4 linked regions of the Saccharomyces cerevisiae S288C genome follow. The gene in region 2 interacts genetically with the main gene of each other region. Each region holds a gene or a part of one and is shown on either strand. Other genes may lie near its edges. The genes, in order: GPI13, OSH3, MYO3 and SRP40.

Region 1 (8,586 bases), on a different chromosome or scaffold from region 2:
TTTTCGGGAAAAATCAACCTCTCTAGGGCTAAGCCACCTTTAAGTACCAGTGTGTAATTATCCATTTCTTCTTTGGTTGGCTTTGTTAAGTGAATTGTTCTTGTTATATCAGTTGTACCCTCCAAGAATTGCGAACCGGAGTCGCAAAGATATATCTTGGTAGGATCAATCATCGAAGAGTTCTCTACGGGCGGCGAATAATGTATGATGGCGGCGTTACTACCTGTGGAGGATATTGTTTCGAAGGAATTGCCCATGAAGTTCCTTTGGGTTTTCCTAATCTCGGTCAATTTTTCTGCGGCACGATATTCATCTATCAGTGCCTCGCGCCCCACTAATTGCTGCTCCAGCCATGCAAAATACTGCACTAAACATACTGCGTCTTTGACCTGCGCCTTGTGTGCGTTTTTTATTTCGATGTCATTCTTGATAGATTTCAAAACATCGATGGGTGAGTGAATTATCGCAAAGTTTTGTGCAGTCATTTTTTTAGCTATTGCACCGTTAGCGTTGGTTGAGGTGTTCAAACAACGAACCATCTGCCACGATGCACTATCAGGAATCAAAAATTCATGCTCCGCAGAAGAAGCCTGCGAAGTTATCTTTGTTAAATGTTCCCATATCTGTTCGTAAGGTCTGACTTCAATACCGTTTATCTTAAAATATTCCGATATGTCATCATTGAAGGGGTTATTGGTGAAAAGAATGGTTTCGTCTTCGTTAATAGCCACGTAGGAGAAAAAAACTGGATTATAGTCAATGTCGGATCCACGCAAGTTCAACAACCAACAAATTTCATCCAACGCAACTACTATGAAAGTATTCCTACCGGTCGTCGCAGAGGAAGCCTTATCATTCAGCTTTTTCAGTAACTTTTCCTTCTTGTCTTTGAATTCTTCACCATGAAACTCGTATTTTAACAGTAGTAAATCGTTACAAGGCCTTTCAGGTAGAGTTTCAAAATCAGGCCAAATACTGTCAACTAAGTTTTCCTCCACGGGAACCAGCTCCACTTTACCCTTTGCGTCATATTTAGTGTCAATCATTTTTCTAAAAGAAACATAGTCGTTGAAAGTGATAAGTTTTGGGTCAATACCTATCTTCAACACCATTCCCTCTTTATTGCCAAGTCCCTTGGCCATTTCCAAAGCTTCTCTGACACACCATTCTTGCCAAGTGATTGGGTCTTCGTTTTGCCTCAAAAGTGTCCAATTATAATCTAGTTCTTGTCTAGCTTGATTGAAATATCTTCCATCAGTACTCAAAATGGATTTCCCATCCGGATGGTCATCGTTGAAATTTAACAAGTCTCTGGTGATACAGGCTACACCGGCCGATCCGGAAAACCCTGAAATGAAGGCGCGCCTTTGATCTCGCAATGATACATATTCGGACTGATGTTCGTCACAACTGGGCACAATATAACAACACAAATCGTGTTTCTTCATCTCCTGACGCAACTTCAACAATCTATCAGTAGTGTTAACTTCCCTGTTAACAGCGCATAGAGAGTCACATGAGTAAACAGACCCATTTCCAGCACTGCTACCTCCGCCAGCGCCCTTCAACTCGTTGAGAAGCATGCTGGAGGACCTCCTTGAATTTTCTAACTGTCTTAAAAATAGAGAGGCTCTACGACCTTGCCTAGACAGTAAGCCTGGAGAACACGTACAATCCGCACATGGCCTAAACGGTCTGGGGCTGTGTGATGCCGATGTTCCTCTCATGTGCGTGCCAGGTACATGGGAAATCGAGTGAGCCCTGCCGTCACTGGTGGATGGTTTCGAAGTCATATGAAGATTTTGTTTGTAATTATTGGTTTCGCTCTGTTGAGGTCTCCGTTTTTTTTTTATTCTTTTTTTTTTTAGCTATGCAGTCTTTTTGCCAGTGCTTCCTGCCTTTCCTGTATTTGTAAATATTGCACCTATTAAGACTAAACTGACTCAGTTTTTGTATGTCGCTTCCTTCTTGTTCCATCCCTCATTCGAAGTATTTCTGAAAAAAGAAAACGTAGAAGAAAATTCGGGAAAATGGGGTGCGATTTTTAGGGGTCACCCGGGGATATACCTTCGGGTAACACCAGAAGTCGTCAAAAACAAAACAAAATTAAACTAAACTCTGGCGGCTAAAAGATAATCATAATGCACATAGGGAAAGCTTTCTACCATATTTGAACACTTTAACGGTTAGTTGAAATAATAAGAAATAATTATATGTTTATTTTTACGTGGGTTATAAAGACGGGTAAATTATCTTCGTTATTACTCATGAAAACCTACAAGTAAGCGGCTCAATGGCATTTCGTGGCAGATAATCTTCAGCTATCATTATTATTTTTGAGAGGATGGTTTTTAGGAGCAGTTTGAGGAATAAACAAGAGCTTAATGTACCGTTATACATTTTTAAAAAGCTGTCTTTTTTATTGGGTTCACAGCTCTCATTTTTTTCCATGCAAAATCATTTTTTTAGCCGCCGATGCTTCAAAATGGGTTTAAGATATTTATTGTTTAAATGTTTCTGCATCTGGATTCACTGAAAAAAATTTAGACGCCTAACATGTATTTTGCATTTAAAGGATTATGCGGGAGAAGATTTCTGCCCATTGCCTCTTTTCTTACTATATTGAATAGAATATTATTCCAATACTGGCTTTTTTACAATTCATTAAAAGAGGAAAAGACATTTCAGAAAATTTTCTTCTCTATGAACCTTAAATGTAGGAAAAAAAAGGAACCAAACCACATCATTTACTCTCAACCGCCTTTCTTGTTGGGGTTCATGGTACAATTGCAAAGTTGTGTCAAGTTGTTGCCACTCTATCTTTTGTTTTTGTTACAGGGTAATGGCGCACATTATGCAAGCGCGATGACGAGCAAGGTACTTTCTTTTTTCCTTTAACATTTTGTTGTCCACCGGAAAATAAAAAAAAACAAATAAATGGGTAAGATCAAAAAAGGAATAGAAGCATATGTTTTAAGGGCAACGCCGAATCGTCAAAGAACGGGAGGAAGATCAATACATTAAGTGGAAAAAAAAAGCTCCCGTAATATGGATGAAAAGACAATTAAAAAGTCGATTCTTTCATCTTCCAATGATGAAAAAATAATATACAAATCGCGAATAAAGAAATTTCAAAAGAATCATAAATTTTATATTATTCTATTGGTTTTCATCGCCATTTTACAATTCATATCAATAGCTTTTTTCACTCGGGGATTCTTACTGTCAAGACACGTTCTTGATAATATTTCCTCACAAAACGAAACGAGTAAGTTACCTCCTAGGTTCAACAAGGCGGTGATTTTGGTTATTGACGCTTTGAGATTTGATTTCGCTATTCCTGTAAACGAATCCCACTCTAATTACAACTTGAACTATCATAATAATATATTATCATTGTATGATTCTTTTGCAAGCGATAAGGATGCATCTTCCCTATTGTTGAAGTTCATTGCCGACCCACCAACCACTACTTTACAAAGACTCAAGGGTCTCACAACAGGGTCCTTACCGACTTTCATTGATGCCGGGTCTAACTTCGATGGAACAGTAATCGAAGAGGATAACTTTCTTAAACAGCTCCATTTGGCAAATAAGACTGTCAAATTTGCCGGAGATGATACATGGATGGCTCTGTTCCATCCGTTCCTTTCCAACGATAGTTTCCCACTAGAATCACTCAATGTGTGGGACTTAGATACTGTCGATAACGGTGTTATGGATTACTTCCATGATCATTTACAGCAGGACAAGGAATGGGACGTCATGATTGGACACATGCTAGGTATTGACCATGTGGGCCACAAATATGGCCCCGACCATTTTACTATGAGGGAAAAACAAATTCAAGTAGATCAATTTATCGATTGGATACTAAAATCGATCGATGATGATACCTTATTGGTTATTTTGGGTGACCATGGAATGGACCATACGGGCAATCACGGTGGCGACTCCATCGACGAGCTCGAAAGCACTTTATTTCTTTATTCTAAGAAGCCGGACATGTGGAGACTTAAAGAAACTTCGAATTACAACATTGATAATTTGGGACACGATTACCGTTCAGTGAGACAAATTGATTTGGTGTCTAGTTTGGCGTTATTGATGGGCCAACCGATACCATTTAACAATCTTGGATGGCCTATTGACGAAATAGCAAGAAACGATAGAGAATGGTCTCAATTTGTCAACTCAGCGATAAGCCAATTACAATTATATAAGGACACGATGCAGATCCACCATGGCAATGACGAAATATTGGAACCGTTAGCGAAAAATATATCTAACACCCCCCCAACAAGCGATCCAGAAAAATTTGTTAAGCTGGGTCATAAATACCAAAAGGTCTTCTTGCAGACCTGCGAAGAACTATGGGCCAAATTCGATTATTATTCCATTGCCACCGGTATAACGCTACTGGCCACTTCACTGGTCCTGTTGATATCCATTACAAAATTAATTCCTTCTATTGTTGTGAATCAAATGGTTCCAGAATTCGTTCCGGGAATTATCATAATGGTCTTAGTTACAAACCTATGTTTCCATGGAATTTTTTACGTTTATCAACAACCAAGTTTTGTAGACCAATTCTGGGGTACCCTGTTAGCGACTGCAATTGGTATCATTATTGGTTGTTATATCACAATATTTGATAGGTACAACTTTATTTGGATTGCTATGAGACTGGGTGAAACATTAGCTGATTATTGGTCAAGAATTGCTGTCATGTTTATGATTATTCATGCTTTGCTTTTCACTTCCAATTCATTTACTATTTGGGAGGATAGAATTGTAGCATTCCTTTTATCTACTTTCGGCATGTTGACGTTGTATGAATTTGTCTTCTTACCAAAAAGGCAATCCACCACTGCATTATTAACTGCAACAATCAGTGAAAAGGAAGGAACCACTTCAGGGGTCAATCCTTCGACAGCAAATTCAAATTACTTACCATTAACAAGATTTGCAAGATTACTAGGAGGTTACCATTCTGCAGTTTTAATCATTTTTACCCGGTTAGCTTCTATGATTACCATTTGTAGAGAGGAACAAGGCGAATATTGTATTCCAACATTTAATAATCAAAACAATTCCTCGTGGTGGGTTTTGGGTCTCTGTTTCCTAATGATATTCATATTACCTGCATGCATCACCGGTTATTATAATCTAACATCGTCTTATCAAGCTGCAGCTCCAATTTGGATAAACGTTTTCCTAAAGGGTATCCTTGGTTTGAACTTTGTTTATTGGTCATTGACTTCATTAGAAAATAACAGTGCGGTAATAGCAATACCGTTCTTACGGGACGTCACTATTTTTAAATTTACGTTGGCTAGAATTATTGCCGGTTTTTCATTGATTGCTTCTAATGTCGGCTGGCTAATGGGACCACTTTGTATTAAATTAAACATTCATAATACTGATGTTAAGTCTCACGAAGCAACAATTTTAGGTTATACTAATATTTACGGCTCAGAGTTTTTTCTTTTGGTCATAAACGTTCTCATTAGTATCCTACTATTCAACAAACCCCTGGCCCAGTTGTCATACTTCCTCATGTGCAACCAACTACTATCAATTTTAGAAATTATCGATCTTTTAAAATTAAAGGAAAACATAATTGGTCCAATTGCGTTGGGACTCTTATCTTACCAACATTTTTTCACCACCGGTCATCAAGCCACAATTCCATCAGTGCAATGGGATATCGGATTTATGCTGTCTGAAAAGGTAACGTTCCCCTTCACTCAGATAGCCATCATCCTAAATACATTTGGGCCTCATATTCTCGTCTCCTTATCTGTAGCGTTACTGACACTGTGGTCACAGCCTCCTGATGTGTTGAAGCCACAAACACTTTTAGGAAGAATTGTGTCAAACTGCGGTATATTACTCACTTACAATACTATTTTATGTCTAAGCTCCTTTATTTGGGTTACTCACTTCCGTAGACACTTGATGGTTTGGAAAATCTTCTGCCCAAGGTTTATCTTTGCTTCTTTAAGTTTAATAGTCACTCAACTGGTCGTTACTTTTGGTACAATTGCATTTGCTAGTGGGAGATTGATTAAGCACATAAATGACATTTTTTGGAAATGACGAACTTCATTTCCACTCTTTACTTACAAATATACTATATATATATATCTACATGTAATTTAGATACAAGTAAATCATATCTCTTGATATTGCAAAAATTTGAAAGCAAAAGCATCTCTTTTCTGCAGCTTTATTCTTTTAAGATTGTACATTTTTCTATCACTTTCTTGTAATCCTAAATTATATTTTTCTCCAAAATTTTTCTTTTCGCTTGTAGATTGTTTTTTTTCCACAAAGGCAAAAAACAAAAACAAAATAAAAGAAATAAAGGATGAAAAGTCATCTTTGTTTATATAGCTAACCTCTTGACTACCTGAACCTTTTGAAGCACTATTCAAGCCCGCAGAGGTTAAGTCTACACAATTGTTTAAAAAGAAAAACAGCAGTAAACACACGGTTGAGGCATGGATAACTTCAAAATTTACAGTACAGTTATCACAACTGCTTTTTTACAAGTTCCACACTTATACACGACAAATAGATTATGGAAGCCCATAGAAGCACCTTTTTTAGTTGAATTTCTTCAAAAAAGAATAAGCTCCAAAGAACTTAAAAACACAAAAGCAATCTGTCATATAGATCCCTCATGGGTCAATCTAAATGCTTCTTTCATTAGAGATGACATGATCTCAATAAAAGCTACCACAGATGATATGGACCTCGATGCTATTTGCAGGATTTCTTTGCCCTTACCTATGAACACAAATGATCTAACAGCAGAATTGGAAAAAATGAAACGTATACTATTGGACTTGAGTGAAAAATTCAATTTAGAACTAATCATCACCAAAGAACCAGCTTACTTCACACCAGAACAGACAGGCGAGAGCAAGGAATTATGTATTTACGTGCATGCATTAGGATTCCGATCTAATTTAATGGAATGCGAACCCCAGTTATTGGCATTTGTCGATTTAATAAAGAAGAATGGTATGACTTTGCCTCCACAACACTACATTATCGAACCTATGGAACTGAACTCATACTCTGTGCTTCCCTTATATATGGGTGTAGATATGGAAAACTTCAAACATATATCCAGAGCTTTTAAAACCAGCATTTACGCACCTTCCCTCATTACGCTGTCTAGGGATCTTAAGGCAAATCCACAAATCTTCTTCTCAGGCGCTGTCCATTCACTAAGTTTACTGGCTAGGAAAACTCTACGTGAGTCCATAAGCGTGAATTCAAAGAGTTTTTTTTATCGTCGATTGACTAATATTACCCCAGGAAAACTACTGTTTATCCGAAAATACTACCAACAAAAGGTAAACCAGTTAATTTTGAAATACCAATCGCTTATTAGAGTTACTAACGAATACATTGAATTTCAATCGATTTCCACGAACTTATTAGAAATGGTTATTAAGAACTTCACTATTCAAGTATTACATGAAATTGTAGAAGTACAGATTTCACTCAATGAAAACTGCGCAATGTCCCCGGAATTAATAATCGACAGCTTTTTCGGACACACTGGAAACCAAATTGTAGTAATAACTCCCAAAGAGGATTCCTTCAACCAATTAATAGTAGTTGGTAACCAATCTTCCACAGATGAGGCGTCCGATACTTCCATATTGCATTACTTATCTGATTTTATTATGGGCTCAAATCAAGTGATTAATCCAAACTTAAGACAGATAAAAGCCATTTTCGAGATACATCCTGATTTTGAAGACTTCATATCAGGCAAGAAAAATGGTAAATTAACACGTATAATGGAACTATCTGCTTGCTTAATTCAACTGGAAATGGAAGAGGAAGATGATAACCTTTATTTAAATTTGGTTAGTGACTCTTTCCCTGATTTCAAGGAATCATTTAAGAATGTTATAAATGAATTTCCTGCCGAAGAATCTTTCTTCATTCCTGAAGTTTGTCACAGACCGATTATAGGTACAGGTGGTTCCTTAATTCAAGCCACAATGAGAAAGCATAACGTCTTCATTCAGTTTTCCAATAGTTTCAATCTTCCACAAAATAAAATTTCTATGATCAGGTATGATAATGTGATAATTAGGTGCCCCAGGAAAAACAAAGCTAATATATGCCTAGCCAAGAATGATTTAAAACAAATTGTTCAAGAATATGATAGTTTACAATCGAAGACGCTCATTAGATTTTCTAGTGGGCAATATAGACATATTTTGCATGTTAACGGCCAAAAGAATATTATAGGACAAATCGAAAAGAACGAAAATGTTTACATAATGATACCGTTAAAAGAGCCCTTGGATGGAACATCTCAATTGAGTATACAAGGAAATGATGAGAATGCATCAAGAGCCGCTAACGAATTGGTTAATAGTGCGTTTGGTTATGAATACGAGTTCAAAATAGATCAAGAGATAGATCCCAATAAAGAATACGAATTTTATAACCTAATTGTTGTTCCATTTTTGCAAATTATGAACATAATTGTAACTTTTGAGAAGGACCTTATCACTTTTACTTTTGAAAAGGATACTAATGAGAATACTC
Region 2 (8,566 bases):
ACTCAGGTATTTTTCCGTGTCAATATAAAGGACCCATGTTCATGACAATCGGTTACGTAGCCGTAAACTATATCGCCGGTATTGAAATTCCTGAGCATGAGAGAATAGAATTAATTAGATACATCGTCAATACAGCACATCCGGTTGATGGTGGCTGGGGTCTACATTCTGTTGACAAATCCACCGTGTTTGGTACAGTATTGAACTATGTAATCTTACGTTTATTGGGTCTACCCAAGGACCACCCGGTTTGCGCCAAGGCAAGAAGCACATTGTTAAGGTTAGGCGGTGCTATTGGATCCCCTCACTGGGGAAAAATTTGGCTAAGTGCACTAAACTTGTATAAATGGGAAGGTGTGAACCCTGCCCCTCCTGAAACTTGGTTACTTCCATATTCACTGCCCATGCATCCGGGGAGATGGTGGGTTCATACTAGAGGTGTTTACATTCCGGTCAGTTACCTGTCATTGGTCAAATTTTCTTGCCCAATGACTCCTCTTCTTGAAGAACTGAGGAATGAAATTTACACTAAACCGTTTGACAAGATTAACTTCTCCAAGAACAGGAATACCGTATGTGGAGTAGACCTATATTACCCCCATTCTACTACTTTGAATATTGCGAACAGCCTTGTAGTATTTTACGAAAAATACCTAAGAAACCGGTTCATTTACTCTCTATCCAAGAAGAAGGTTTATGATCTAATCAAAACGGAGTTACAGAATACTGATTCCTTGTGTATAGCACCTGTTAACCAGGCGTTTTGCGCACTTGTCACTCTTATTGAAGAAGGGGTAGACTCGGAAGCGTTCCAGCGTCTCCAATATAGGTTCAAGGATGCATTGTTCCATGGTCCACAGGGTATGACCATTATGGGAACAAATGGTGTGCAAACCTGGGATTGTGCGTTTGCCATTCAATACTTTTTCGTCGCAGGCCTCGCAGAAAGACCTGAATTCTATAACACAATTGTCTCTGCCTATAAATTCTTGTGTCATGCTCAATTTGACACCGAGTGCGTTCCAGGTAGTTATAGGGATAAGAGAAAGGGGGCTTGGGGCTTCTCAACAAAAACACAGGGCTATACAGTGGCAGATTGCACTGCAGAAGCAATTAAAGCCATCATCATGGTGAAAAACTCTCCCGTCTTTAGTGAAGTACACCATATGATTAGCAGTGAACGTTTATTTGAAGGCATTGATGTGTTATTGAACCTACAAAACATCGGATCTTTTGAATATGGTTCCTTTGCAACCTATGAAAAAATCAAGGCCCCACTAGCAATGGAAACCTTGAATCCTGCTGAAGTTTTTGGTAACATAATGGTAGAATACCCATACGTGGAATGTACTGATTCATCCGTTCTGGGGTTGACATATTTTCACAAGTACTTCGACTATAGGAAAGAGGAAATACGTACACGCATCAGAATCGCCATCGAATTCATAAAAAAATCTCAATTACCAGATGGAAGTTGGTATGGAAGCTGGGGTATTTGTTTTACATATGCCGGTATGTTTGCATTGGAGGCATTACACACCGTGGGGGAGACCTATGAGAATTCCTCAACGGTAAGAAAAGGTTGCGACTTCTTGGTCAGTAAACAGATGAAGGATGGCGGTTGGGGGGAATCAATGAAGTCCAGTGAATTACATAGTTATGTGGATAGTGAAAAATCGCTAGTCGTTCAAACCGCATGGGCGCTAATTGCACTTCTTTTCGCTGAATATCCTAATAAAGAAGTCATCGACCGCGGTATTGACCTTTTAAAAAATAGACAAGAAGAATCCGGGGAATGGAAATTTGAAAGTGTAGAAGGTGTTTTCAACCACTCTTGTGCAATTGAATACCCAAGTTATCGATTCTTATTCCCTATTAAGGCATTAGGTATGTACAGCAGGGCATATGAAACACATACGCTTTAAGTTTTATTTATAAGTGTTGTTAGAGGCTGCAACAATTAGAAACTAGTGCAAAACTAGTATATTTATTTGTATATGTAGTAGTAAAATAATAGGTGAAAAATTAACATGTGTTTGAAATTCCAGCTAACTATTGGTTATGGTGATTACACGCTAAGTGTAGAGTTCTTTCAAATATACCATTTATCCTTTAGCACGGCTTCACTATTTTTTTCGTCTTTTTTCAACTAAGCGGAAGGAGAAAAAAATTTCAAGTTATGCTCATCACTCTTTTATTACATTATGGTAGCTATAAAGTGGCTTATGTTAGTGAGTTGACGGAAAAGAGAAATACTTTCAATAGACCAATACATAACAAATCCTTTTGAACAAGATGCATTTGATGTACACTTTGGGCCCAGACGGCAAGAGAATCTATACATTGAAAAAGGTCACCGAAAGTGGTGAAATCACGAAGTCTGCTCACCCAGCTAGATTTTCTCCAGACGACAAATATTCAAGACAAAGAGTAACTTTGAAGAAGAGATTTGGTTTGGTACCAGGCCAATAGATTTGGGTAGTTTAAGGGAATATTGTATAGTACGTGATTCTGGCTAGTATGAAAATGCAGTGAATTTTCTTGTTTCATTTTCAATTTTCTAGACCTACATAAATTTGATAAGTTTTTAGGTGATAAATACTAATTATAATTGATCGATTATATGTTTTAATCTCGAAGGAGCAGTGGCCGTTTTCTTATCCAGAACCAGTTCTTTTAAGACTCGCCAGTTTCTTTTTAGCTGTAATAAGGAAAAATAGATTGATATTAGTTACAGTTGTGCTTCACGTTGTTAAAACGTACAAGAAAAGTCTTTAACTGTAGCAACCAAAAAAGGTACTTGATGTCGATATTAAGCCGCATCTCTAGATCTAAAGGCTCCACTCTACTGCTCCACTTTACTGCTCCAAAGAGTCGGCTTACAGATAGGCTACCGCTACATTAATAACTGTGCTGGAAAACCTTGTTTCCGGGAGCACAAAATTGTAATGACATATTTATTTTGGTTGTATCAAGCGTTTCCAACTGTTGATTCAACCAAAAAGCCTCATAGCTTTTAATACGGATATTGCTTAGGGTAGGGCGAAAAAAATAACCAAATCTTTGGAAAAAGCAGTTTGACACCATACAACCAGCAACGACATGGTTTTTTAGTGAACCTGTTGGGGGGAGAGTATAACTCGTGAAAGTTTCGACGTCCTATTTGCTGGAGAGTAGTAAAACGAGCTTGAATAGCAGCCTGCGAATCGAATTATGGAAACAATTGATATACAAAATCGATCATTTGTTGTTCGTTGGGTAAAATGTGGCCGTGGCGATGTAATCAATTATCAGATCAAGCCATTGAAGAAATCTATTGAAGTCGGCATATACAAAAAGTTGAAATCCAGTGTAGATGACCATGCTTCCGCAGTTCACATTGCACCTGACACTAAAACATTGCTAGACTATACTACGAAATCTCTATTACATAAGGGAAGTTCGAGTAATATTGAGGAGCATCACAGGCGTTCCTCACAGCACTCTCATAGTTCGAGCAATGGATCGGATAATAAGAGGAAAGAGAGATCATATTCTTCACTGTCCATTAGCGGCATACAGCAGCAATCCCAGGAAATACCCCTACGTGAAAAACTCTCTGCGTCAGGATTCACTTTGGTCAAGAGGGTCGGCAACGTTTCCGGTAACACTATGGTCCAAGGTGATCTTGAAGTGAAAGATACAGACTACTATTATGCATTTATACTGGACAACTCGTCTTCCAAGAATGCAAAAAAGAAAATTCTTTTTAACGCAAGTGTGATAAACGGCGATAATCAATCGATGATAAGCACAAGATCCACCCCTCCCGCAAGGCCTACAGCTTTAAGCAGAACATCTACTCAACAGGATATGTTATTTAGAGTAGGACAAGGTCGTTACTTGCAAGGCTACCTGCTGAAAAAAAGGAGAAAGAGACTACAAGGTTTTAAGAAAAGGTTTTTCACCTTGGACTTTCGATATGGAACCCTATCGTACTATTTAAACGACCATAATCAAACTTGTAGGGGTGAAATTGTCATAAGCTTGTCATCTGTTAGTGCCAATAAGAAGGACAAAATAATCATAATTGATTCTGGTATGGAAGTTTGGGTCTTGAAGGCTACAACTAAGGAAAATTGGCAGTCGTGGGTCGATGCGTTACAAACTTGTTTTGACGATCAGTTCGAAGATAAGGACACGTCCACTTTGGAAGAAAATCCCGACATTCTTGACGATGACAAGGAAGTAATTAATAAAAGCTCACCTCAAGACCACGACCACCTCACGCCCACGGCTACGACCAAAAGTGCACTATCACATAGACAGCATACTCAGAAAGACATGGATGACATATATGTCCCATTGCCCAGCGAATCTTACGCTACTTTCTCCATGAATCTACGTTTGATTCAACAACGACTGGAGCAGTGTAAAAAAGACTCGTTATCTTATAAACCAACTACTTTACATCAAAGATCGGAGGGGCTAAATGGAACACATTCGTCATCTTCCGTCTTTACCAATAATAGAGTGTCTTCATTCAATCATTCTTCTTCTGGTATGACGTCATCTGATTCTTTAGCCTCTGAAGAGGTTCCTTCCAACAAAACATATATTGAGCATGCTTTATATAACCAATTGGCAGATCTTGAAGTATTTGTTAGCCGGTTCGTTACACAGGGAGAGGTTTTATTCAAGGACCACCAGATCCTGTGCAAGAAAGCAAAAGACACGAGAGTTTCTTTAACTTCATATCTTAGCGAGAATGATGAATTTTTTGATGCAGAAGAGGAAATCAGTCGGGGAGTCATTATATTACCTGACACAGAAGATGATATTAATAATATAGTCGAGGAAACTCCCCTTCTTGGTAAAAGTGACCAAAATGAGTTCACAAAAGAGGTCCAATTGTCGGGATCCGAACAGATAGCTTCATCAAGTGTGGAGAGCTATACAACTAACGATGAAAATCATAGCCGTAAACACCTCAAAAATCGTCACAAAAATCGTCGCCGTGGCCACCCTCATCATCAAAAAACCAAAAGCGCCCAATCCTCAACAGAAACATTTACAAGTAAGGATTTGTTTGCTCTTTCCTATCCAAAGAGTGTTACACGCCGTAATGACATACCTGAAGCTGCAGCTTCTCCGCCAAGCCTATTATCTTTTTTGAGAAAGAATGTAGGCAAAGATCTGAGCTCTATTGCCATGCCAGTAACCTCAAATGAGCCTATTTCTATTTTGCAGTTGATATCAGAAACATTTGAGTATGCTCCACTTTTAACGAAGGCTACCCAACGTCCTGATCCTATAACCTTTGTTTCTGCATTTGCTATTTCCTTTCTTTCCATATATAGGGATAAAACAAGAACGCTAAGAAAGCCTTTTAATCCTTTACTGGCTGAAACATTTGAACTTATACGAGAAGATATGGGGTTTAGGCTTATATCGGAAAAGGTCTCACATCGTCCTCCAGTATTTGCCTTCTTTGCAGAGCATCTCGACTGGGAGTGTAGTTACACTGTAACGCCATCGCAAAAGTTTTGGGGTAAGTCTATTGAATTGAATAACGAAGGTATACTGAGATTGAAGTTTAAGACAACTGGAGAACTATTTGAATGGACGCAACCAACAACTATTTTAAAAAATTTGATAGCGGGTGAGAGATATATGGAGCCTGTCAACGAATTCGAAGTACATTCTTCGAAGGGAGACAAATCACACATCCTGTTCGATAAGGCAGGTATGTTTAGTGGAAGATCTGAAGGATTTAAGGTTTCGATAATCCCACCACCTTCGAGCAATCGCAAGAAGGAAACTCTAGCTGGTAAATGGACACAGAGTTTAGCTAATGAAACTACACATGAAACTATATGGGAAGTAGGTGATTTAGTTAGCAATCCGAAGAAGAAATATGGCTTTACTAAATTCACCGCAAATTTGAATGAGATAACTGAAATTGAAAAGGGCAATTTACCACCTACGGACTCAAGATTAAGACCAGATATTAGAGCTTACGAGGAGGGAAATGTTGATAAGGCGGAAGAGTGGAAGCTGAAATTGGAACAACTTCAACGTGAAAGACGTAATAAAGGGCAAGATGTGGAGCCTAAATATTTCGAAAAAGTATCTAAGAATGAATGGAAATACATAACTGGACCGAAGAGTTATTGGGAAAGAAGAAAGAAGCATGATTGGTCTGATATTTCTCAACTCTGGTGAATGCCTTGATGACATCAAGTGAACTTTTTTCCCCCCTTTGTACTCTATTTATTTTCCATCTTTAATGATCATCCACACAAATTACTTGTATATGCGTTCATGTATAGTATACTATATACAACATGAAGGACTTTATAAATTCTTGATCAATCTTTCACACTAATTTTATATTAACAGTTCTACACTATTTTTGTTTGCTTGACTGTAAAAACATTCTATTTTATGATTAGTTGCAAAACTTGAAAAAAACAATAGAATTTCATCACATAATTGAAAGATAATGAACTCTTTCAGTCAGTTAGATCCATGTTTTTTGAAGAAAAGTTTACGAACACAGGATCTTACAAAAGGTGCCTAAATTTGGAATTGAAAGTCTATTGCTATCAAAACTTGTCAAAGATAACATAGCTTGGAACATCTTATCCTTTATATGTCCTGCTAAGTCATATCAAGAGGCCCCAATAGTTTCGTCGAAAAAGATAAAGAGGAATATGGAAGGGAAATATAAGATTATCAACTGGTTACCTCAAAATAGACTATATGCTCACATCATCAATTGATATTGCTTGTAAAAATACCCCCAAATACCCTGGCATTCTTTTTTTGACTCCCTGCCAGTAATGTCACATCTTATCACTTTAGCTACATGCAACTTGAATCAATGGGCCCTAGATTTTGAAGGTAATAGAGACCGTATCCTACAGTCCATTAAGATTGCCAAAGAGAGGGGTGCCAGGTTACGTGTCGGCCCAGAACTGGAAATAACTGGCTACGGATGTTTAGATCATTTTTTAGAAAATGACGTTTGCCTTCATTCATGGGAAATGTATGCTCAAATCATTAAGAATAAAGAAACCCATGGATTAATACTTGACATTGGTATGCCCGTTCTACACAAGAATGTTCGTTATAATTGTCGTTTGTTATCCTTGGATGGTGAGATATTGTTCATAAGACCTAAGATTTGGTTAGCTAATGATGGTAACTATAGGGAAATGAGATTTTTCACACCTTGGATGAAACCTGGCGTGGTGGAGGACTTTATCCTTCCACCTGAGATTCAGAAAGTTACCGGCCAGAGACTTGTGCCATTTGGGGACGCTGTGATAAATTCATTGGATACATGCATTGGTACAGAAACTTGTGAAGAATTGTTTACACCTCAATCCCCCCACATCGCCATGTCTTTAGATGGTGTGGAAATCATGACAAACTCATCTGGTTCTCATCATGAACTGCGTAAGTTAAATAAAAGGTTAGACCTAATTTTAAATGCCACTAAACGTTGTGGTGGTGTTTACTTGTATGCAAATCAAAGAGGTTGTGATGGTGACAGATTATATTATGATGGCTGTGCACTAATTGCCATCAATGGTACAATTGTAGCCCAAGGTTCACAATTTTCGCTAGATGATGTGGAAGTAGTTACTGCTACTGTGGACCTAGAAGAGGTGAGGAGTTATCGTGCAGCTGTCATGTCTCGTGGCCTACAAGCCTCCTTGGCAGAAATAAAGTTCAAGCGTATTGATATTCCTGTAGAATTGGCTTTAATGACCTCCAGATTTGATCCTACAGTGTGTCCAACAAAAGTCCGCGAGCCTTTCTATCACTCTCCTGAGGAAGAAATTGCACTGGGACCTGCTTGCTGGATGTGGGATTATTTAAGACGTTGTAACGGAACAGGGTTTTTCCTTCCCTTATCTGGGGGCATTGACTCTTGTGCAACTGCAATGATTGTCCACTCTATGTGCCGTTTAGTGACCGACGCTGCTCAAAATGGAAATGAGCAAGTTATCAAAGACGTTCGTAAGATAACACGTAGCGGCGATGATTGGATTCCAGACAGTCCACAGGATCTAGCCTCAAAAATATTTCACTCCTGTTTCATGGGTACGGAAAATTCATCCAAGGAGACAAGAAACAGAGCAAAGGACCTTTCCAATGCAATTGGATCTTACCACGTGGATTTAAAGATGGACTCATTGGTATCCAGTGTGGTGTCCTTATTCGAAGTAGCCACTGGCAAAAAACCAATATACAAAATATTTGGGGGATCTCAAATCGAGAACTTGGCTTTACAAAACATCCAGGCGCGTCTAAGAATGGTTCTTTCTTATCTTTTTGCGCAACTGTTGCCGTGGGTTCGTGGTATCCCAAACTCGGGTGGATTGTTAGTACTTGGTAGCGCAAATGTTGATGAGTGCTTACGTGGGTATCTAACAAAATATGACTGCTCCTCCGCAGATATCAACCCTATTGGGGGTATTTCAAAAACTGACTTGAAAAGATTCATTGCCTACGCATCAAAACAATATAACATGCCAATCTTGAATGACTTTTTAAACGCTACACCAACTGCAGA
Region 3 (6,886 bases), on a different chromosome or scaffold from region 2:
GTGCAACGTTTGAATAAATATTTGTAATCCTAATTTCTTGCAGATTCGGATATGACCCAGCAGGCATGTGCGAGTCAAGTTAATTTTTCGGGTGCTAGCTAGTACTGGAAAAAGTAAAAAGTGTCATTTGCAAAAAAAAACCCTCGAGAGATTTGTATGTTATTTAACGATTTCTTTCCAAGACTCTGCTGCGTGAAATCACCAACAGTTATTCAACAATGTCACTCAGAGCAGTCCCAGGATATTTTGCTGCATATCCAAGTGAGGGTTTTCAAGGATTAGACTCCACGAAATATGATCACTTAGAATTGATTAACCATAAGAATTGGAAGGAACTGTATCATGCTATCCCTAGAAATACCAAAAATCGCCACTATAAGCTGTTGATTTTAGCTAGGCATGGTCAAGGTTACCACAATGCTGCCATACTGAGGTACGGTATGGAGAAATGGGACGCCTATTGGTCGTTGCTTTCGGGCGATGAACATGGAGAGTGGCTTGACTCTAAACTGACACCTCTGGGTAAAGATCAAGTTAGAAGAACAGGATCGAATGTCTTGCTACCAATGGCAAAGCAATTAGGTATGCTACCTCATGTGTTTTTCAGTTCTCCAATGAGAAGATGTCTCGAAACATTCATTGAGTCGTGGACACCAGTGTTAGCGGAGACGCAAGAATTACCGGCCGGAACTAAAATTTCTACACGCATTATAGAAGGTCTAAGGGAGACGTTGGGCTCTCACACTTGTGACAAAAGAGTGGCTCACTCAATGGCAGTTGACGAATACCAGGATTTCAGCACGGAATCGGGCCACACTGTACATTGGCAATATGTACCAGATTACCCAGAAGATGATGAATTGTGGCTTCCTGATCATAGAGAAACGTGTGCTGAAATGGACAAACGTACACTGAATGGATTATTTGAACTATTTAATCAATTGTCAAGCGAAGAAAAATTCATCTCGCTTACTTGTCACTCAGGTGTCATTCAAAGTGTCTTGAGAAACTTACAGCATCCTCCAATTTATAACCTGGACACAGGTAAAGTCGTCGCTGTCGTCGTGGAAGTACCAGTCAACACGGCCGATCGCGGCAGGCTCTGAATTTTCCCACAGCGCCCATTCGGGACTTTCAAATATGTGGGTAATTTAAATAATTTTTTATAGATATAATAGAGTGGATGGAATAAAACCCTTTCTTTTCAAATAATGTGTTAAGCACTTTGAGAAATGGTTGAACCTTTCACTTTGATCATCGCTTTCTCAAGCTAGGTGAGAACATACATTTGAGTATAAAATAAAAAATGCATATGTGAAATTATATGAATGCAAAGGGTTCTTAGTTCCTTTTTTATTCTTGTATAGTTTTCACCGCTATGTCCACTCCCTCTTTTATACTATACTAATCGATGCCACAGAAAATATAGGCTTGGAAGTAATAAGCCCCCTTCATATACTTTCGTACAAGAAAATGTAACCGGTACATTAAAACAAACTTCAGTAGCCTCCCCTAATCACTCGGCAGGCAGACCTACGATCTTGAACAACTATTATATAGTAGCAAGATGCTAGCTCCATCGCTTTTCTAACTAAAGGTAAACTGATCGATTTGCATTTATATAATAAACCTCGGGAAGAGCTTTACCGAAAAAGGAAACCGTTTGCTGTGACAAGTAAATATAGAGTAATCTATTATAAAGGGTTAAAGCAATCTCGATTCAATTGACCGCGAGCAAATTAACAACAATCCAGTTATAAAACATTAATTTGCTGATCACATTTGAATCAAAAAAAGTAAAGAGAAATACTTATAACCGTCAATGGCTGTCATAAAAAAGGGAGCACGCAGAAAGGACGTTAAGGAGCCCAAGAAGAGATCTGCAAAAATCAAAAAGGCTACATTTGATGCAAATAAAAAGAAAGAAGTAGGTATTTCTGATTTGACACTTTTGTCAAAAATATCTGATGAATCTATCAATGAAAATTTGAAAAAAAGATTTAAGAATGGAATTATTTATACCTATATTGGCCATGTGTTAATTAGTGTAAATCCGTTCCGCGATTTGGGAATATATACAAATGCCGTTTTAGAGTCATATAAAGGAAAAAATAGACTTGAAGTTCCACCACACGTGTTTGCTATTGCGGAATCTATGTACTACAATCTCAAATCATACAATGAAAATCAGTGTGTTATTATTTCTGGTGAGTCTGGTGCCGGTAAGACAGAAGCAGCCAAACGTATTATGCAATATATTGCAGCTGCATCTAATAGCCATTCAGAATCGATTGGGAAGATCAAAGATATGGTTCTTGCTACTAATCCACTTCTCGAGTCATTCGGTTGTGCTAAAACTCTGCGGAACAACAATTCTTCAAGGCACGGGAAGTATCTAGAAATTAAATTCAACTCACAATTTGAACCTTGCGCAGGTAATATCACAAATTATTTGCTAGAGAAACAAAGAGTTGTTGGTCAAATTAAGAACGAAAGAAACTTTCATATTTTTTACCAATTCACTAAGGGAGCATCTGATACATATAAACAGATGTTCGGTGTGCAAATGCCTGAGCAATATATTTACACTGCTGCGGCTGGCTGTACTACTGCAGATACAATTGATGACGTAAAAGATTACGAAGGCACGTTAGAGGCTATGAGAACCATTGGTTTAGTCCAGGAAGAACAAGACCAAATTTTTAGGATGCTGGCGGCAATTCTGTGGATTGGTAACATTTCCTTTATAGAAAATGAAGAGGGCAATGCTCAGGTAGGAGATACCTCAGTGACTGATTTTGTCGCTTATTTGTTGCAGGTTGATGCTTCGTTACTGGTAAAATGTTTAGTGGAAAGAATCATGCAAACCAGTCATGGAATGAAGAGAGGCTCAGTTTATCATGTACCTTTGAACCCAGTCCAAGCAACTGCGGTGAGAGACGCCCTTGCTAAGGCAATTTATAATAATTTATTCGACTGGATTGTCGATAGGGTTAACGTATCTTTGCAGGCATTTCCTGGTGCTGATAAATCAATTGGGATTCTAGACATTTACGGCTTCGAAATTTTTGAACACAACTCTTTTGAGCAAATATGTATCAATTATGTTAATGAAAAGTTACAACAGATTTTTATCCAATTGACTTTGAAGGCTGAGCAAGAAACTTATGAAAGAGAAAAAATCAAATGGACCCCCATCAAATACTTTGACAATAAAGTTGTCTGTGATTTAATCGAGGCGAAAAATCCACCGGGCATTCTTGCTGCAATGAATGACTCTATTGCAACTGCTCATGCAGACTCCAATGCCGCTGACCAGGCGTTTGCTCAACGACTTAACTTATTTAATTCAAATCCATACTTCGAATTAAGGGCCAACAAATTTGTTATTAAACATTACGCTGGAGATGTCACCTATGACATCAATGGTATCACCGATAAAAATAAAGACCAACTTCAAAAGGACCTAATTGAATTAATTGGAACAACGACAAATACATTCCTTTCCACAATTTTTCCTGATGATGTTGACAAAGATTCAAAGAGACGGCCTCCAACAGCAGGTGACAAAATTATTAAAAGTGCAAATGAACTGGTGGAAACTTTGTCAAAAGCTGAGCCTTCCTATATCAGAACAATCAAGCCTAATCAAACTAAATCACCAAATGATTATGATGATCACCAAGTGCTACATCAAGTAAAATATTTGGGTTTGCAAGAAAATGTTCGTATCAGGAGAGCCGGTTTCGCTTACAGACAAACTTTCGAAAAATTCGTCGAAAGATTTTATTTACTATCTCCAGATTGTTCATATGCTGGTGATTACACTTGGGATGGGGACACCCTTGAGGCAGTCAAGCTTATTTTAAGAGATGCCATGATACCAGAAAAAGAATTTCAACTTGGAGTGACAAGCGTATTCATTAAAACTCCAGAATCTCTATTTGCTCTAGAAGACATGCGTGATAAATACTGGTACAACATGGCTGCTAGAATCCAGAGAGCATGGAGAAGGTTTCTTCAAAGGCGTATTGATGCTGCGATAAAAATTCAGCGTACTATCAGAGAGAAAAAGGGTGGAAACAAGTACGTCAAGCTTCGTGATTATGGAACCAAACTTTTAGCGGGTAAAAAAGAGAGAAGATCCATGTCTTTACTTGGATACAGGGCTTTTATGGGTGATTACTTATCCTGCAATGAGTCTAAAACGAAAGGATCGTACATCAGAAGACAGGTAGGAATTAAGGATAAAGTTGTTTTTTCGATAAAGGGGGAATGCCTGCACTCTAAATTTGGCAGATCAGCTCAAAGATTGAAAAAAGTGTTTATCTTAACAAAAAAGACATTTTATATTATTGGACAAACACGGGAACAGAATGCTATGAAATATACACAAGATTATAAAATTGATGTCGGTAAAATTAAACAAGTGAGCTTAACAAACCTCCAAGACGATTGGATGGGCGTTATCCTTGTTAATAGTACACAATCCGATCCACTCATTAACACGCCTTTCAAGACGGAATTAATGACACGTTTGAAAAAATTAAATGAAAAGATAATGATAAAAGTTGGTCCCACGATTGAGTATCACAAACAACCAAACAAGTTGCACACTGTCCGCTCAAAGATAAGCGATTCAGCACCGAAATACGGTGACATCTACAAGTCAAGTACAATATACGTGCGTCGTGGACACCCTGCTAACTCCAAATCGAATAAAAAACCTAAGAATCCAGGTGGGTTGAGCGGGAAACCTATCAAAAGCAAAAAGAGTAAACACAAATCTACTCATAAGCATACACATAGCCATAGAAGTCATAGGGATGCTGCAAAAAAGCAACCTCTCCCTTCGCAAAAACCTGTGAATCCGTTATCTTTGGCAGCTACCGCTGCACAGGCAGCATACAATCCTAAACCGGATAAGACCGTACCAATAAAGTCATCTGCAATCCCTGCTGCAAAAGTAAGCTCGAAACACAGCTCAAAACCCTCATCGAAGGAAAAAGTCGCAGTAAAGAAAGCCTCCTCAAGCCACAAATCCTCATCCGCCAAGCAAAACCAGGTATCGATGCCACCTTCAAAAGGGGTTGAAAAAAATAAAGAACCGTTAAAGGAGACAACTGCAACTGCAACTGCAAACATACCAATACCACCACCCCCTCCCCCCATGGGCCAACCAAAGGATCCGAAATTCGAAGCTGCATACGACTTTCCAGGTTCCGGATCATCTTCGGAGTTGCCATTAAAAAAGGGCGATATTGTATTTATAAGCAGAGATGAACCTAGTGGTTGGTCTTTAGCAAAGCTTCTCGATGGAAGCAAAGAAGGTTGGGTTCCTACTGCTTATATGACTCCTTATAAAGACACAAGAAATACGGTGCCTGTTGCAGCGACAGGGGCAGTGAATGACGTTACAAATCAGAAATCAAGCCAAATCGACAATACCATTTCAAGTGCACAAGAAGGTGTACAGTTTGGAAGTGCAACAGTTGGACCCACTAGTGATAATCAGAGTAATCCGGTGGGGACGTTTAGCGACGGTTTAGCTTCTGCATTGGCAGCAAGAGCAAACAAAATGCGGGCGGAAAGTGCTGACGATGATGATAATGACGATGGCGATGATGATGATGACTGGTAATTAACATGAATATATAGATGTTTAGTCTCTTATAGAATGGTTCTTCGTGCATGCCTCTTAACATACCAAAAGTGCATTACATATACTTTTAAACATACTCTCGCAGAAAGTTAAAGTCCCTTTTTTTTTTTTTTTTTCATTTTTTGTTTGTATTTTCCCGTTTTGAAAAACTCCCACTTTAATGCAGGACATCGTTCAAAACAAGCTTTAAAGATTTGACAGTAAAATCCTCACTTTACTCAAGACATTTTTCTCAAAAAAAGAGAAAGCACAGTAAACCCTCCTTAATTTTCCTTTTGCATAATACCAGACACTTAAAAATGAGCAAAGACAAAGATATCAAAGTCACTCCTGGAACTTGTGAATTAGTTGAACAAATACTCGCCTTACTCTCCCGGTATCTCTCATCTTATATTCACGTGCTGAACAAGTTCATCAGTCATTTGCGAAGGGTAGCTACGCTACGATTCGAGAGAACTACTTTGATTAAATTTGTTAAGAAATTGAGATTTTACAACGATTGTGTGTTAAGCTATAATGCATCAGAGTTTATCAATGAAGGTAAAAACGAATTAGACCCAGAGGCGGATTCGTTTGACAAGGTAATTTTACCAATAGCTTCAATGTTTGTTAAATGTGTTGAAACGTTTGACTTACTGAACTATTATCTAACGCAGTCATTACAAAAGGAAATTTTATCTAAAACTTTGAACGAGGACCTAACGCTAACAGCAGAGTCCATATTAGCCATTGACGATACCTACAATCATTTCGTGAAATTTTCTCAATGGATGATTGAGTCTTTGCGTATAGGCAGCAACCTGCTAGATTTAGAAGTTGTTCAATTTGCCATTAAATGCGCAGATGAGGACGGAACGAATATCGGAGAAACTGATAATATCTTCTTGCAGGAGATTCTTCCTGTCAACTCCGAAGAAGAATTTCAGACCTTGTCAGCTGCGTGGCACTCCATTTTAGATGGTAAGCTGAGCGCCTTGGACGAAGAATTTGATGTTGTCGCTACTAAATGGCATGACAAATTTGGTAAATTGAAAAACTGAGGCCTTCAGTTTTTAGCTCAAAAAGAGCAAATAAGTACCACTAGTTAATAGAACATATATATATACATGAATAGCCTCATCACATAGCACAGAAAGTAAGCTTTCAAAACACTGATGATCGGCTCTTATTCTGGCGTACTCATTTTCAGCATCTCAAACCGCGCTGTTTTTTTCTCACTTTTTG
Region 4 (7,092 bases), on a different chromosome or scaffold from region 2:
TTGAGCATTATAAGAGTTTATTAGTGATCTAATTCAAAAGAAGAAAAAAAAAAATAATTGATAATATTTTATATTGTTTGCAGTGGAGCAGCACTGTGGTATACCTTCTTTTTCAAGTAAGCAAGTAAAAATAAAGTAGGAATAATGCGTAATAAGCCAACCCTAAAATAGACACAAACGGAAAGGATATAGAAGATATGTACATCACTTATATATTTTACAAACCTAAAAATTGTACAGAACAATAAAATGAAATGTAGAATGATATGAGTTGTGGTGATTGGAGAGAGTAAAAGAAAGGATGATAGATGCAAGAAGTAAGGCCAATCAAAGAGCAAGTCACTCTACACAGCTATCATATGAGGGGAGTGATCGCCGTACAGATAAGAAACCCAACTTTTTTCAAGACGCCACCGCTTGTGTAATCGCCATTATATCGAGGAAAGCCCTGCGAACGTGAAGTGAAAAGGACGGTTGTCCTTTTTCCTGTTCTTCGAGGATCCTGAACAGGATGTCAGTAGGGCGGGCCTTTTCTTTTTATTGTGCAGGTACGCATGTTTCTTTGACACAAAATAGTCTGGATTCGCCAGCCAGTGGCACTTTTGATGCCATTTCCACCACAGAAAACGTCTGAGTATTCAGCCATGGGAGGGGAGTGTTGAAAGGGGAGAAGCAGCCCACTTCTCTGTCTTGACACAAACCGCAGATTGCGTCACGGTTCTGCGGACGCCGTTAGCCCATTGGTGTCAAGTTATTGCGGGATTTTTTGGTGCCGTACGCCGGAGCCGACGGAGGTAAGTCAGTTCGCCGCTGCCTTCGGCGCCGTTATCTTATCTCGCCAGAAAACTCTTAGCTTTTCCGGGAAAAAAAATGAACAATACTGATTGCGTTACCCCAAGCTTATCCCACGTAGTTTTGTGTCTCTTTCTTGGGCTCTTGGCGGCCGTACGCATATAGTATACTAATGCGGTAACGGCTACCTCCTACGTCTGTATCAAAAAAGTTCGCTCTGGTCCTATCAATATTTTCTCCCACACGAGGATTCTGTGGTTTTGCAGCCACATCTACAGGATGTTGACTTTTTGTTTGTTTACGTAGTTTGTTTCAACGCTTTCGAAGATGTGGCGCTGGTGCAAGTCATCTAAGTTGGTTACTGATAACAAATTGTGACAAGGATGTAGTGGATGCGTAGGAGACCAAAATGACATCTGACACAAAAAAAAGTAGATAACGAAAACAGGACAAAGGTGTCATTTTGTTTTGCCAAGGAGAATTATAATCTTAGTGTGAAGATACTTTCATTAGACACATAAATTTACGTTCGACACACTTTTTTCTTACTCCTCCCCTTATCAAGGATACCTGGTTGATTCTACGTCGTCCTCTTCACTTTGGTTAATTCACCTTTGCCCTTCACCTTGTGGTGTGCGGGTGTTGCAGTCATTAATGTTCTTTATCGCGAGAGGGGGTCTACATAATCTTGTTTTTTCACTCCAATAAGGCAGTTATAGTGAATTTGTTTTATTACAGAAGGTGTACCCTTCGTTCGAGTTATTTTACTCTTGTTTTGTAGTTTGTACATCTCTTTATGTCTGGATCAAAACGATAATTCGAAGCTTATTGCAATTTAGTTCTCTTACCCATTTCTTTACAACGGGCCGAGAAAAAGTGGAGTTGGTCCGAGGAAGCTTTGAACGGGAAGAGGAAAAAACCTTCCCATCGCTCGAGCATACAATTTTTTTTTTTTCAATGCAGGCTGAAAAAAAAAAATTCACTTGATGATTGAACTCATCGCACTTTTATACAAAGCAAGAAAGAAACCCAAGTCGCAGTACACTAAGAATACATAGCAATGGCTTCCAAGAAAATTAAAGTTGACGAAGTGCCAAAATTAAGTGTTAAGGAGAAGGAGATTGAAGAGAAATCTTCTTCTTCTTCTTCCTCCTCCTCCTCCTCCTCCTCCTCCTCTTCTTCTTCATCTTCCTCGTCCAGTTCTAGCGGCGAATCTTCAAGCAGCAGCAGCAGCAGCAGCAGCAGCAGCAGCAGTGACAGCAGTGACAGCAGTGACTCTGAATCTAGCTCATCATCATCTTCTTCTTCTAGCTCAAGCTCAAGTTCCAGTGACTCTGAATCTTCTAGTGAATCCGACTCTAGCTCCAGTGGATCTTCTTCTTCCTCTAGCTCTAGTTCTGACGAATCTTCTTCGGAATCCGAATCAGAAGATGAAACCAAGAAAAGAGCAAGAGAATCAGACAACGAAGATGCTAAGGAGACTAAAAAGGCTAAAACTGAACCAGAAAGCTCTTCCTCATCGGAGTCAAGCTCTAGCGGGTCATCGTCATCTTCAGAATCAGAATCAGGTTCGGAATCTGATTCTGACTCAAGTTCTAGCTCAAGTAGTTCTTCTGATTCCGAATCAGATTCTGAATCAGATTCTCAATCAAGTTCTAGCTCCAGCTCTAGCGACTCTTCGTCTGACTCCGACTCCAGCTCCAGCGACTCTTCATCTGACTCCGACTCTAGCTCCAGCTCTAGCAGCTCTTCCTCGGATTCAGATTCGGATTCCGACTCAAGCTCGGACTCAGACTCTTCAGGCTCGTCCGATTCTTCAAGCTCGTCTGATTCAAGTTCCGACGAATCTACATCTTCTGATTCCTCCGATTCGGATTCCGACTCAGACTCTGGTTCTAGCTCTGAATTGGAAACAAAAGAAGCAACTGCAGACGAATCCAAGGCCGAAGAAACGCCTGCCTCATCTAACGAATCAACTCCATCTGCTTCCAGTTCATCAAGCGCCAATAAATTGAACATTCCTGCTGGAACCGACGAGATCAAAGAGGGCCAAAGAAAGCATTTTTCCAGAGTAGATAGATCGAAGATTAATTTCGAAGCTTGGGAGTTGACAGACAACACCTACAAAGGCGCGGCTGGAACATGGGGTGAAAAGGCAAATGAAAAATTAGGTAGAGTAAGAGGTAAAGATTTCACGAAGAACAAAAATAAAATGAAGAGAGGTTCTTACAGAGGTGGATCCATTACATTAGAAAGTGGTTCATACAAATTCCAAGATTAAAAGAATAGGAAACATAAAACAAAACTCGTTGTCTGGAGTAATCTCCTTTTAAGTTGTAGAGTAAACAAATTGTAATTATAGCAACGATAGAAAAATAATAGTAATAAAGACAATAATAATAGTAACAAAAATGGTAACAGTAATATTTTGTATTGTTTTCCTTTGAAAAAAGAAAAAATAAATAACCTGGTATATAGGTAATCGCGTCACTAAATAATTAAGCATTCAATAAAAGTTTTTTTTAATTATTTTTTTTTTTATGTTTTTGGCTCCTAGAGGTGAATATTTTCTTTTTCTTTCTTCGCAGCTATATACTAAATATTAGTGATATAAACAGCAAGAACTATAAACCTAAAAGTAGCCAAAGCCATGTATATATGCGAAACCCGAATCATTAGTTCAGTCCGATGAGGACATCTTCAATAATGTATCGATAGCAACAACTTCTTGTAAAGAATTCTCCTGTGTACTTTGCGTTCTTCTATGAGATGACCAACGTAACGGCGAAACGTTAACGTTGTCTACCCTATTGCTTTTGGCATGTTTGGACGAAATTGCCTTCAAGAACGCTGCATGAGCGGATGAATCTTCCAGAGAACTCAGAAACTTTTTGGATTCATCTAACGAGTGACAGCGCCTATGCTTAGCGGCAAATTTATTACTATAAGAGCCCTTTCGTATCTTTTCCGTCGGAGGTGGAGGAATCAAAGCTACTTGCTCATGTTCCTTTGATAGCTTAACCATTGCGCAGTTGAGTCTTGATTTTAGCGTGCGTGAAAACTCCCGTACGGAATCGTCATTCTCTTCCTCGATAACCGCTGTGGGAGAAACCAATGGGGGCGTGGGGGATGGAAACATTTCTGCATTCTTAGACCTGGGTGTTGTAGGTGTTATTGGTCCTGGAAAATGAAATTGTACGTTGTATTGATATGTGGGATCCTCATTGCCATCGGGCGAAGGGGCAGATGTAGGAGAATCTTGCGCTTCACTTATTGAAGTTTTGAAATATTTCCTTGCCGGCGTCGCCAGAAGGCTGTTAGATTCAGTATCCAGGTTGGGAGAGATCAATTCGTTTATCGTTAAGACTCTCGATTTGGGAGTCTCATTTACCGTTTCCCAATTAGGTGTCTTAAGAAACATTATATTCGTCTATTATTTATCCGTTTGTGCTCAGGTTCTTCTTCCATCCTCTTGAAAATACAATAAAATAACGAAACATTTCATTGCTTAGCCTTTCCTTAAATAAATTTCCTTATTCTCTATTCTTAGGCTCCTGTTCCCTTTTTAGCTTTTAGCCTTTAATGCACCGGTACGAGAATGTCCAAAAATAGAAATTCGCTACAATTAAATGACGCGTAAAAAAACAGTTAGAGGTAGTTGTTGAGAAGAAGACAACGTAGTGAATATGAGTGAATGATGTCTTTATAACTAACTAACTAATGACGACTAATGTTGTTGATACCATAGATAGGCAGATGCCTTTTTCCTGCGCTATACAATTTATAAATGAACAAGGCTGGCTAATAATATAAAAAATCAAAATCTTATTAAGAATGTTATGAAACATGTGTGCTAGGAAAGACAAATGGGTAGTGATGCTAGTTGAAGTTGATGAGCCTCGTTCTCCTTTTAGAGAGAGTATTGTTCTTATCATTGCTTGATGTAGCATTGTCGATACCTTCCTTCAAGAGAGCTTCCATGTCGTGATTACCGCACAATGGAATTTCCCCATTGAATATATAATAATCATTAGTAATGGCAGTCTTGCATAAGAAACAGTTTAGACAATCCACGTGGAATCGTTCCACCTTATCATTTTCCAGACATTCACCCTCTATGAAATTTGAACAAACCTTACAAATACTGTGATTCTCCTCGTGATAGTGCTTTTGACAATATGGTTCATCGCCTAGAATATAACAGGGAACATGTTTATTGAATTTGATACCACATTCAATGCATTTAAAACATTCACGATGCCATTGACCCGACAGTTCGTTTTCCTTTTTGGAAAACATTCTTTTCCCTGTGACTTCCAAGCCGCATGCTCTGCAAGGTCCCTCCCCAGGCGGATATTTAAACTCAATGGGCTCCGTTTCTTTATAATCTGCATCAGAGCTGTATCTCGTAGTGCCGCCGTTAGGTAATACATGAGAGTCATTAGATTTGGAATTATCAATTTCTTCTCTCAGATCTGTTATGTTGCGCTTATGCTGCAGTTGTAGTGCTTCAATTGTGGGAAGTTTCGTTCTGAAAGTTTCTTGCGAACCCATCCCTTCATTATTGGAGTATTCTACGTTCGACTGTTTAAACTTGTAAAAAATGGGTGTGCCACCATTAGTTGTAGATTCAGATGGCGCGTCTTCATCGACATCGCCTTTATCTACCAGAATAGTTTGTCTGGATAAGTTCGTATTGCTGTTTTGCACAATTGATGTTTGCTGCGTTACGGGTATATCCATGCTGGGATACCCAGATAAATATGCGCTTGACTTTTTGAATCTAGAAGCCTTTCTGTCCACTGCGTTGAGGCAATTGCCGTTCATATCGAGCTTTGCATTTCTAGATAGGGAAACATCGTCTAATTGAGCAATCAATTGTTCGACTTGGAGGTTCGTAGCAGTGTATGGTGTTTCCACGTTTTCTGAAGAAGTTATTGAAAGACGTTTCTCATTTAACCCATCAAGACTTAAATCTTCAACTTTTGTTGACGATGATGACACACCAGGTGATTTCTGTTCCTTTGAAGATTCCAGGCCAGAAAAGTTATCATCAGGATATATTTTAGAGTCTAGTGCGTTCATGGTTAAAGATGGTGTATTACTTTCCCTCGTAACATTAATTTCCGGAATTTTAGGTTCTGTATTCTTTTCCTCTTGTTTTGCTTCTGGAAAATCATCTTGAAGTGGTTCATTTTCAAGATTCATCTGTAGTTTAGGATCTGGTTCAAAATTTAGGCTTTCAATATCATTCTCATCCTCCTGCTGTCCTTCACTTTCATATTCGATTGAACTTTCCTCTTTTTGCTGTTCTTTTCCGAGTTTTTGGTCGAGCACACCTCTGTTATCGGTTTGGTTCATAGAATTTACAACGCTTGCAGTGTCATTTTGAGTCAGCATCATGAAACTTCTTTCAATAGGGCTCAAATCTTGTTCCCTTTCAGTATTACCAGCATCTTCTTGTTCGAAGTTGAAGGGGAAGTTATCTGCGGCTTGGAATTCCTTGTTAGCAGGTGATTTACATGTATGCCTAGAGGCAGCATATTGTTCCGCCTGACGGTCTAAGTCGCGTTCAAAACGGAAGGGATCCTCTTGCGAAGCACGCTCGCTGGGCCTGGAAATAGAACGAGATATGTCACTGGGTCTCGAAGACGTAAAATTGCTATTCTTTGGAGGAGTTACACTCCGCCTCTCGCTATTCTCCAATACGGGAGGCGGATAAATGTCAGACTCGCCCTTTACAGATGAATAAGCACTCTTTGAAGACGCCGTATACGCACTCTTCATCGTGACCGGAACAGATGGGGCGGCAGATACATTTCTTTGACGGGTTATTGGCGGCGACTTCACGGAAGCTTGTAAACTTCCAGTGGAAGCATTCCTCTGACTACTGAACGGATTACGCGGCTTAGTGTCAAACCCTGCTCTTTCTAGAGCAGTTTTGTAGCGGACCTTCGGATTTATTTTAGGGAAGGGGGACCCGTAGATTGAGTTATACATTGACTTGAGCGTTTCTTTTGCTAAATTTATTCTTGTTTTTCCCCTTACGTTATTCACTATAAGCTTTGAAGAAGCTTGAAAAAAATTCGGCTATAATATCCTATTCTAGCTGTATAAATTAAATATTCAACACAGCAGAAATATATTTTAAGGCTACCTCTTAAATTTGCAACACTCCAGCTTTTCTATTATTATTATTTACTTATTTTTTCATGTTTCCTATTATTCATGGAATTGAAAAAGGACGCGAATTGAAAATTTCGAAAGAAATAGGGCTAGGCGCTTCAAAAAGTCATTAGG

Evidence for each region.
Region 1: of OSH3 (region 2) and GPI13, a mutation in one rescues a mutant of the other (synthetic rescue), as found in Saccharomyces cerevisiae (2 studies listed by BioGRID, with this or other methods).
Region 3: of OSH3 (region 2) and MYO3, changing one suppresses a phenotype caused by changing the other (phenotypic suppression), as found in Saccharomyces cerevisiae (one study listed by BioGRID).
Region 4: mutations in OSH3 (region 2) and SRP40 together harm fitness more than expected from each alone (negative genetic interaction), as found in Saccharomyces cerevisiae (2 studies listed by BioGRID).

Annotation. Positions count from the first base shown.
Region 1 is NC_001144.5:74,668-83,253, reverse strand, and holds GPI13 (mannose-ethanolamine phosphotransferase GPI13), read left to right. Parts: upstream 1-3,048; coding exon 3,049-6,102; downstream 6,103-8,586. Other genes in the region: FRA1 (aminopeptidase P), read right to left, coding at 1-1,793; RRT7 (Rrt7p), read left to right, coding at 2,557-2,898; YLL032C (uncharacterized protein), read left to right, coding at 6,507-8,586. UniProt on the Saccharomyces cerevisiae protein: Involved in glycosylphosphatidylinositol-anchor biosynthesis. Transfers ethanolamine phosphate to the GPI third mannose which links the GPI-anchor to the C-terminus of the proteins by an amide bond. Involved in cell wall biosynthesis.
Region 2 is NC_001140.6:239,369-247,934, forward strand, and holds OSH3 (oxysterol-binding protein related protein OSH3), read left to right. Parts: upstream 1-3,213; coding exon 3,214-6,204; downstream 6,205-8,566. Other genes in the region: lanosterol synthase ERG7, read left to right, coding at 1-1,925; snoRNP complex protein NOP10, read left to right, coding at 2,296-2,472; QNS1 (glutamine-dependent NAD(+) synthetase), read left to right, coding at 6,825-8,566. UniProt on the Saccharomyces cerevisiae protein: Lipid transport protein (LTP) involved in non-vesicular transfer of lipids between membranes.
Region 3 is NC_001143.9:195,104-201,989, reverse strand, and holds MYO3 (myosin 3), read left to right. Parts: upstream 1-1,822; coding exon 1,823-5,641; downstream 5,642-6,886. Other genes in the region: PMU1 (putative phosphomutase), read left to right, coding at 219-1,106; SHE2 (She2p), read left to right, coding at 5,962-6,702. UniProt on the Saccharomyces cerevisiae protein: One of two redundant type-I myosins implicated in the organization of the actin cytoskeleton. Required for proper actin cytoskeleton polarization and for the internalization step in endocytosis.
Region 4 is NC_001143.9:608,646-615,737, reverse strand, and holds SRP40 (Srp40p), read left to right. Parts: upstream 1-1,852; coding exon 1,853-3,073; downstream 3,074-7,092. Other genes in the region: PTR2 (Ptr2p), read right to left, coding at 1-8; DNA-binding protein SRL3, read right to left, coding at 3,473-4,213; PXL1 (Pxl1p), read right to left, coding at 4,672-6,792. UniProt on the Saccharomyces cerevisiae protein: Not known; weak suppressor of a mutant of the subunit AC40 of DNA dependent RNA polymerase I and III.